Linked DNA regions of Danio rerio. The protein of the gene in region 2 interacts with the protein of the main gene of each other region in a biochemical or structural test. Links are inferred from orthologs where the notes say so. Each region holds a gene or a part of one and is shown on either strand. Other genes may lie near its edges. The genes, in order: hnf4a, med1 and vdrb.

Region 1 (2,497 bases), on a different chromosome or scaffold from region 2:
CACTACCATGAAAATTAGTTTAAATACTTTAGCTCATCCATGAACATAATTTCTACAGGAGTGTAATGAAGACGAAAACTCCCATTATTTCACACTGTCAGGAGATCATCAAACTATGCCTTTGTTTTTTGTGAATCCACAGTCTCTAGTGGGGAAAATTACATATTGAGCCTTAAATTCTAAACATATTGCTGTAACAAAGTCTTTTCAAGAAAAGTCATTTACCTCCTAAAAGCATCTCTTGCAGCAGATTGTCTATCTTCGCCATTCCAAACAATTTAACAAACTGGATTTGCTCGATCATTTGCCAGGTGATGCTCTGTAGTGTCGGCAACAGCAGAAGCAGCTCGCCGAACCGTCCCCGCGAGTCATACTGTCGGTCATTGATGTAATCTTCCAAACTAACTTGAACTTGATACCGCATTCGTTTGATCTTGCTTGGGTCACTTAAACCTTTGGCGTCTATAGTAGTTGAGAAAAAACATCACATTAGGAAAAAAAGTCTTGACATTCTGCTCTTCTTATCTCATTTTAAGGATGATTAATGTACCTGGATCGAAAAATACAATGGCTTTTAAGCAGGCGTATTCATTGTCATCAATCTGGAGATCTTGGAAGGGAAGTACTAACTCATCAAGGATTCTTACAGCCACACGGCTCACCTCCAATTCAGGGCAGTTTCGAGGAATTATATGATCATTGCCTGCAAGAATCATGGAAAAATGTAAGGTAAAACATTAGTTAAATTGTTTGAAGCCTCTACTCATATTCGCATGTGTCTTTTCTTACCTAATAGTAAAATGTCTTTATACATCATGGAGCGTTTGGCAGCTCCTAGTAGGAGGTGTTCTCCAGCGTGAGCTCGCAGTAAAGCCACCTGAGACAAATAAACATGGAAATATATTATTATTTTTTTACATTTTCTTTAGAGTTCTTTTCATGTCTAGAATATTTCATATAAAATCAATGAATTGTTTAAAGTCTCTATGATGACCATATGGTTAGTCTTAGCGTGTCTCCATGTGTGAGAAGATGCGGTTTGAGACGCTCTCACCCACAGCTAAAACACTGATAAGTTAGCATGCCTCAGTGCTCAGCGTGTTAATGATTCTGAATGTCTCAAGAAGAGATGTAACTTTCAAACCAGCTCATCATATTCTAACCTGAGCCATCCAAATACATTAACCACCCAAACTAGAGATCTCTGAACTTTTTTTCCAATGAAAACAAAACACGGATTCAGTCGACACCAACATGCATTTAAGTAAATATTGCAAGGACACATTTGTAGATAAATAAGAGGAACTTGTCCTACCTGATCATCCAGCGGGAGGTCGCAGAATGCAGGGATGTATTTTGCCCATTCCACCAGCACCAGCAGCTGCTGTTTCATAGACTCACACACATCCATTATTGCGGCTACCTTTTTTGTTCTGATATCACCATTCAAGATTGGACCCGGTGATGAAATCTATATGAGGGTATATACTTTATAAGTATTTTGCTATACATCTCTTAAACATAAACATTACTACTAAATCTTATTATTATTACTTATAAACAGTGCATAACAATATTATTAGACCACTAACATATTTATGAGACCACCACAGCTGCTCAAAATTTTTACTTTCTTTAATGAATATAATAATAATGGGGAGATTCAAAAAGAATACCACAACTTTGAAAATTTAATCAAAGAAACATGATGGAACTTCGTATAATCAATCCATGTGATGAGTACTTAACAACGTTTTTTTTTTCAGTAGAAAACAAGTTCATAGATGTTCAATATGACCCCCTTCAGACACTCGTGACATCAACCTGTTATTCGAACTCATTCCACACTCTCTTTAGCATCTCGGGCATAACAGATTGGATAGCTGCAGTTATTTCTTCTTTTAGTTCCTCAATGTTAGCTAGTAGAGGTGGTAAACCATATTTTTAACGTACCCTATTGAAAAAAACTGAGGGGGTGAGGTCAGGGCTTCTTGGAGGCCAGTGATGAAGTGCTCTGTCACAGGCTGCCTGGCGGCCGATCTATTGCTTTGGGTACCTTTCATTCAAATAGGCAACCTAATAAAACTCCAGAGCTTCCTTAAATCAACAACAGAAGCTTTCATTTTCTTCATTGTTGAGTTCTCGATTTTCAAAGTTGTGGTATTCTTTTTTTAATCACCATGTTCCTTCATTTGTATATTGCATCTTTCAATTTAATTCCAATAACTTAATGATTAATTCACCCGTGTGTGGACAATCACATACACAGTATATCTAATTTTGAAATATAATATTGTTATCTGTGAATTTTCAAAATGAATGTTTCACAAGAAAGGCTGAAAAAATAAGTAAATTGTTTTATTTTTTGTAACCAGCTGCCCAGTTACAGTTATTTACTTGCAGTCCTTAATAAAAAAAGGTTTTAATGTTTAATTAATTCACAGTACTGAGAGAATTCTGGATATAAAAATACAAATTCATTAAGACTTTCTTTTTT
Region 2 (3,668 bases):
TGATTTAATAAACAGAAATGGACACCATACTTGTCTCCAGGGAGATTGTACAGGTTGACCAGACCCTTCAGGTGTTTGGAAAACTCATCAAAATTCTTGTCTCTGTAAAACAAATGTTTATGTTTAATGCTGTGTTACCGTACATTAACAACTTTACAGTTGGAGTTAAATAACACACACACACACACACACATATATACACATATATATACACATACACATATATATATATATATATATATATATATATATATATATATATATATATATATATATATATATATATATATATATATATATATACATATATATATACAGACACACATATATATATATATATATATATATATACACACACACACACACACATATATATATATATATACACACATATATATATATATATATATATATATATACACATATATACACACACACACACACACACACATATACATTATATATATATATATATATATATATATATAAATCTGTCAAAATTAGTGCGTTAACGCATGTGATTAATTTTAAATAATTAACGCGTTAAAAAAACGCAGTTGCAGGTTTTTTTTACTTCCTGTTGTGGTGGACGTGTGTTTAACATGCAAGAAATGTGGACAAGACCAAGGAAGCACTTTTTGAAGGCAAGTTTCAGTATAAAACAATTAATGTCTCATCACCAGGTTATCCAGAGTTTCGTGCAATTTCGGATGTTTAATTTTTAACTTTCGACTTCTGTTGTAAGTTGATACCGCATGGCGAACAGAAAGAAAATCTTCCGCATTTCGTGACTCAGTATTCCTTTAAGGTAATAAAATAGCTGCTTAGGCTACACTGTAGACTTTTAATAAGAGTGTAATCTTAGTCATATTAAAATCGGAGTATTGGTGTCTTATGTAACTGTACTCAGAAAGTCTTTGGTGAAGTCACAAGCTGTCAAAGACAGGCCATTACTCTGCCTTTCAGCATGAGCCCTCCAAGTATTGCATGTTTCCTCATTAAACGCAACGAAAGCGTATGCTTCACGTTGTTGTGTCAGAATCCTTGTAAAATACAATAATACTTTAGAACGCTTAATTTAAGCAAATTTGATAAACGCAATGCGTGTTGAATCTAAAGGGAATCGCTCCAGCTCGTTGTGTGTGTGTCTGTGTCATATTTGTATTCAATAGTTTATTATTATAATTTTACATTTCCATACATGTAATGCCTGCATTTTGGCATTTTTTTGCAGTCCACTTACAATCCAACATGGAAATCAATGTTTTTTTGTTGGCATTGATTGTTTTGAAATTCAAATGGCATTAACATGCCTGCGTTTTAATTTCTGTAATAAATATGGCTGTCAAGCCAGGATCTTGATGGTTTATTGTGGGTATGTTGTTTACATGAAGAAATCTTTGTTACAAGTTAAATATTCATTCATTTTCTTGTAGGCTTAGTCCCTTTATTAATCCGGGGTCACCACAGCGGAATGGACCGCCAACTTATCCAGCAAGTTTTTACGCAGCGGATGCCCTTCCAGCCGCAACCCATCTCTGGGAAAACAAGTTAAACAAAAATTCTAATAAACAATTATATTTTGAATCTAAATAGTTTTTGTCTTGCGTTTACATAAATTTTACATTTGAATAGCCAAAATTACAAGTTTCAGTCTTTTAAATGCGATTAATCGCATTTAGTTAGTTAATTAGTTAATTTTTTAAAATCGATTGACAGCACTAATATATATATATATATATATATATATATATATATATATAGATATATATTTACTGTGAAGAAGTCAGTAGGTGAACGGTAATGCAATACAGCAAATATTTTATTTATCTTTTAAATGATGCACAACATTCTGTCGACCATCATAAGTAAATTGTTTTGATATCAAAACCTAGAAATTTTAAGGTTAGTATTTTGTTGTATGAAGTGTGTTTGATAGGGCAACAGCAATTACATTCACTTAAAAGTGTTTTGTCGTCCCAAACAGCAATTTATCCATTAACAGAAATGCATACACCCTTTTGCATAGTTTTACTTTTCTTTAAAATGGGTTTCTTACCGTAAATGCTGTATCAGCTCAGGACAACTCTACATGACAATAAGAAATAAAATCAAATGTAAGTGGACAGAAAAAATACATCAAATAGATATATTTACAATAGCCACATCTCCCTCTCACCACAGGATTTTCACCATGGTGGGCCACTTTTACATCCATGAGCTTTCCACTTTTATCCATATGCACCTCAACGTAGAACATATCAGAGGTGATATAGCATTCAGTATGTGAAGGACTCAGGTGAGATCCCAACCTGCAGCCATACATCATTAAAAGAAAAGAAAGACAAACATATATTAACTTATTAAAAGGTATGTCCTAAACTACAGTTAGATCAAGTAGAATAAAGTAGAAAAAATGCTAGGTATGTATAATATGTATGGGTATGGGTTTCCAAAGCTTAAGTGAGCATTGCTTTGCTTTCAGAAAATCATGTGAACTTTGATGAAGCCTCAATTTTCGTTCAATGACTTATAAAACTGCCTTCCTTTTTAAAGGTGCAAATTTAAATATCTGAATAAGAGAATCCTCTTATTTGTATGCTTTAAAAAGAAATGGTGCATAATACCAAATTTATAGTAACATGAAATAGTTAAAGCTATCCAACCGTTCTGGGGCTCAGGTGTGGGGCACTTTTTTACAATATACAAAGCAGTTCAAAGTAAATGCACTAATATATTTGATTTAGCAAAGCACTTGACAGACTGACATGCAGAGTTCTATAAACACCCTTACAGAAAAGTCACATGAATTTCATGTGATCACATGTGACAATCCACTGTGTTCACAACTTTATAATTTAGAATGTGTAAAGAATCTTCACTATACATAACGTTAACAACTGGTTCTGCAAGCACAAAAAACTAATGTTAATTTTAATCAAACTTGATTTTAAGTTATTTGGAAAAAAATACATCACCTATAATGCTGTTCAGAATATTTGACCATTCAGTGAGTGATGCCAGTCAAAACCACGCCAAAAAATAAAATAAATAAGTAAATAAAATTCAAGCACCTTTAATTGCAATTGATGCAACTGTAATAGTGATGTATCAGTTTGTATGTATCCAGTTTTCTCTTTAAACACCTTAATTAAAATTTGATTGAATAGAGTTGATTATGCTTAAATGTCAGTTTATATTAAATAAAATAAATTTAGTACTTTTTTCCAAAAAGAGCTTCAACCCTTAGATCCCCTTATAAAGAACCTGCCTTTGACAGTACAACGCTTAAAGGAGATAGTCCAAAGACTCAGCAGATGCTAACAGCTCTTTTTGTAAATGATAATTGTTCTTCCAAAGACAATTTAAATGTCTTAAAAGTAAATAATAATACAAAATAGCTTTTATGGTGAGCAGTATCTACTTATTTAATTTATGTATCTCATTACAAAAGTTTTGAATGTCTAATAATTCATATTGAATTTCAGCACCTGAAGCCCTAAAGTGTGCTGAAGAAATCAACTGCATAAGTCCTCCGTCTTATTTTAAGCCATGTTAAAACTGAAATAAAAAAGGTACGATTTTTTATTTAAATGAACGCCACTACAGAATTTGAGCAGAGCAGAGAGTTGAGAAAGGGGAAAGGTAAAAAATATGGCCTCTTTTTT
Region 3 (3,668 bases), on a different chromosome or scaffold from region 2:
GCCTTAGCCATAGTTAATCCTGTGTGCGAGCATATTAGCCTCCGTGTACAATCTCGGAACTATAAACTAGCGTAACTTTGTTAGTTGCAGCAGTTTTGTTCCATACTGAGACTAAGTCTGGAGAAGCTTTTAATTAATTAATCGTAACAAATTAAAGTACGGTTAATAGTGAAATCAGTTAATGGTTGCATCACTAAAAGATATATTCATATTTCTTATGTCTTGTTCAGTTTAATGTAATCATTGCTAGACAATTTAGTCACCAATAGTCTATTTTAGGTTATTTCTCTACACCAGTGCAATTTTTTTCCCCCTCTAAATTGGAAATGATGCAGTGTAAATTATCACCAGAAAATTTGATGAATAACCTACTGGTGAGCTTCCTTTTTATATATAATTTCTGATTAATTTTCTGACTGATGCTTATTTAAGGTAATGGTGAAAACGGAATAATACATTATTAAACGATAACTGCTGGTTTCATGAAAATGTGCCATTTGTTTCTCTTTGTAAATAAGAGATTTCTTCAGATGTGTTGACAGTCTTGTTTATTGTAATGAAGGCATTTGTGATGGTCAGGGGGTTTGTGTGAAGCTGCGGCTCAAGCAGTTTCAACTACCTGTGTAAACATGCAGGAAAGGCAACACTTCTTTAATGCAAGCTGCATATGATATATTAATAAAAGATTTAATTAAAAATCGCAATTCCAATATCAAATGATATAATCCACAGGTGTGATTATTGTGCAGACAATGTACATAATGCATTTTAATGGCAGCAAATGAAATGTACACCTTTTCAGTAGATTTTTTTAATAATTTAATATATATATATATATATATATATATATATATATATATATATATATATATATATATATATATATATATATATATATTTTTAAGCCAACATCCTGCAGCACAATTCATGCGAATGAGGCGCCGCATTAGCCAATCAGAAGCTTGCTCTTGTAGGAGCGTGATTATTAAGTAGTGCCAGTTGTTGATGTCCCAAGGGGAATTCCTCTTGCCCACACTACACAACAGCTCATCAAACCGGGCTCAGTTCAGTCGGAAGCACCGCTTAAAGCCTCCATCATTCTGGTATAGTTTCTGCAGAAGTTGATAAACTCACAGTGCTGAGTGCACCTCTGAAAGGATCTAGTGCACTCAGACACCACACTAAACGAATCTACATTTATGTGCTTTAGGAAGGCTGAAAAACGGTTACTATCGCAATAAAATCCATGTTAGTCGTTTAGCTACTGAACTAGGGTGAGCGGGCAGACAGAAGCCCTCCCCATGATGCAAATCTGCGTCTGTTGTGAAGTGAATTTGATGCACGAATGAAACAAGTTAACTCAAAATGTTTTCTTGTCTATTTACGTGCGATTAGTGCGATTTATTCACAAGTGCTGTGTCTGGTGTGAACACGGCATCAAAGTTTCTCTCTATAGTGGTTCAATTCTGCAGTGTCTCCACAAATCTCGTGTTTTTGACCTGTGGATTCTGGTCATCTCTATTCATAACTCAACATTGCATCTCTTACGATGTGACTATTGCGGACACACACATTGCGAAGTGGATGATTGAACAATGTATTGTGCAGCCATATATATATACTTGATTTGCCACTTGATTTCTGAGTTACTCTAGATTTGATTTGATTTTTAATTTTATTCTGTAAACTAAAGATATTTCTTCACAATTTAAAAAACATATTCTTGTTGAATCCCCCATTTTAAATGTTATCAGACAACAATTTTTATCTGGAGAGACTTTAAATAAAATATTTTTAAATCTAAAATTGTGCAATTATTATCAAAAGGAAACCTTAAAAACTGTTTTTGATTTTTATCTTATTATTATAATTATTATTTATGTATTTTACCTTGTATATTATTTATTGCTGTTGATGACTTTTAATTGTTAGAATGTTTTTATAATTTTAGAAAATCTGTAATTGTAAAATGTAGTAAACTTGATAGTTTTTTTTGCCATGACATAGCCATAAAAGCTGAAATGGCAATAAAATTATAACTCTCTCTCACAATTTTTAAATAATATATAATCTAGAGATATTTACATGCAATAACTAAAAAGACAAAACAACACCAATGTTTTAACTTCAAAGCAGTCAAGAAAGTTTTGTATGGTGGAATAAATCTGATTTACAAACACAACTATTTAAAACATTTAATGATGCATGCTTTTGGAAAATATTACCTTTTTTAACCCCAAATGTAAATGTTTACAAGACTATTACCTGATTTGATTTCCTCATGAACTTTAAAAATAGTTTTAACCTTATCGACTGACACTCTCTGCACACTTCTCTGATTTAAAACAAGATGCGTATGACTTATTAACAACAAAACCTAATTAAAATGGTTTAAATATGATGAATACACATATTAAAAATGGTTTCGAGTGATATACTCCAGAAGTATTGTGCAGACAAACTTCATAATGCATATTAATGACAGCAAATGAAATCTATACTTTTCTTCATTCTATTTACCTAATAATTGAATATAATAAATCCACTATTCTTCTGTATTATGTTAGTCTGTTGTCAGATGTTGGAAGGGACACAAGAGGGAGATAACACTTGCGTTAATCTGCAAACAGGACACAGTTATCAGCCCAGTATCTCGATATAGTCAGCCTGATGATTTTGTTCTTTGCCAGTGACTCTGCTCCCCCCCACCCCCTTGGCCTTCCAACGTTTCTGTCAGTCAGCACAAAATGTTTATTCTATTTATTTCATTTCAGTACAGTCATAGAGATATCACATTTCTGGTGATTTGTTGGCATCTGTTTGGAGTGTAAATCCTTTAGTCAACATTCAGAAAGCATTCAGACAAAAACAACACTACTACTCAGTAAAGTACAATTCCTGAGGAAAAAAATACTTGGTGGGAGTAATTTGAATATTTGTAATTAGTTACTACTTGACACAACATGAATTGTTGGTAATGTGTCTGTTTGTGTCTGTCTTTGCATACGTAGAGTCAGGCGATCGTAAGATGAATCTGAGTAACCTGCTGATGATGTACCAGGAGCAGGGCTTGAGCTCCAGTCCCGACTCAAAGGAGGAGGATGGCTCCAGTCTCTCCATGCTTCCTCATCTGGCCGACCTGGTTTCTTACAGCATTCAAAAAGTCATTGGCTTTGCCAAGATGATTCCTGGATTTAGGTAAAGTTTTGATTGCGTGATTGAGTGTGTCAGGGCAGTATTTTAGAAACTAAGACTTGGTTTCTTTTTGAGAAAATCAAGAGCTCGTTTTAATTGGAATTGAAGAAGAAGAGGGGCTTTATTTACTAAATTGCGATTTGAAGAGGCTAAACAGGTTCAATAAACACATATTTACATTAAGTGAAGTTTAATTTTAAACTAATTTCAAAAGGAGCATGTGCTCATGATTGACCCAGCTGGTCCACATTAGCTAATTATGATCCTCCAATCAAAGGATCCCAAATCACTATAAATATCCTCATTTCCTTTCTACAACTTATCATCGTCTGGAAGAAACCCCCCTCCTCCCCTTCTTCCTCCTTGATCCAGAATGGGCGGCACGGTGGCCCAGTGACTAGCACTGTTGCCTCACAGCAAGAATACCAATGGTGTAGGGTCCTCGCTGAGCCATCTGGTATTTCTGTATGGAG

Evidence for each region.
Region 1: the proteins of med1 (region 2) and hnf4a form a complex in vitro, tested with the Homo sapiens proteins (2 studies listed by BioGRID). The link is inferred for Danio rerio from reciprocal best matches to the Homo sapiens genes MED1 and HNF4A.
Region 3: the proteins of med1 (region 2) and vdrb form a complex in vitro, tested with the Homo sapiens proteins (5 studies listed by BioGRID). The link is inferred for Danio rerio from reciprocal best matches to the Homo sapiens genes MED1 and VDR.

What each region holds. Positions count from the first base shown.
Region 1 is NC_133198.1:28,803,645-28,806,141, reverse strand, and holds part of hnf4a (hepatocyte nuclear factor 4-alpha), read right to left. Parts: intron 1,472-2,497; coding exon 1,316-1,471; intron 878-1,315; coding exon 790-877; intron 730-789; exon of another isoform or gene 704-729; coding exon 551-703; exon of another isoform or gene 537-550; intron 463-536; coding exon 226-462; intron 1-225. UniProt on the Homo sapiens protein: Transcriptional regulator which controls the expression of hepatic genes during the transition of endodermal cells to hepatic progenitor cells, facilitating the recruitment of RNA pol II to the promoters of target genes. Activates the transcription of CYP2C38.
Region 2 is NC_133187.1:16,863,519-16,867,186, reverse strand, and holds part of med1 (mediator of RNA polymerase II transcription subunit 1), read right to left. Parts: intron 2,313-3,668; coding exon 2,180-2,312; intron 2,089-2,179; coding exon 2,060-2,088; intron 103-2,059; coding exon 31-102; intron 1-30. UniProt on the Homo sapiens protein: Component of the Mediator complex, a coactivator involved in the regulated transcription of nearly all RNA polymerase II-dependent genes.
Region 3 is NC_133181.1:41,513,317-41,516,984, reverse strand, and holds part of vdrb (vitamin D3 receptor B), read left to right. Parts: intron 1-3,011; coding exon 3,012-3,198; intron 3,199-3,668.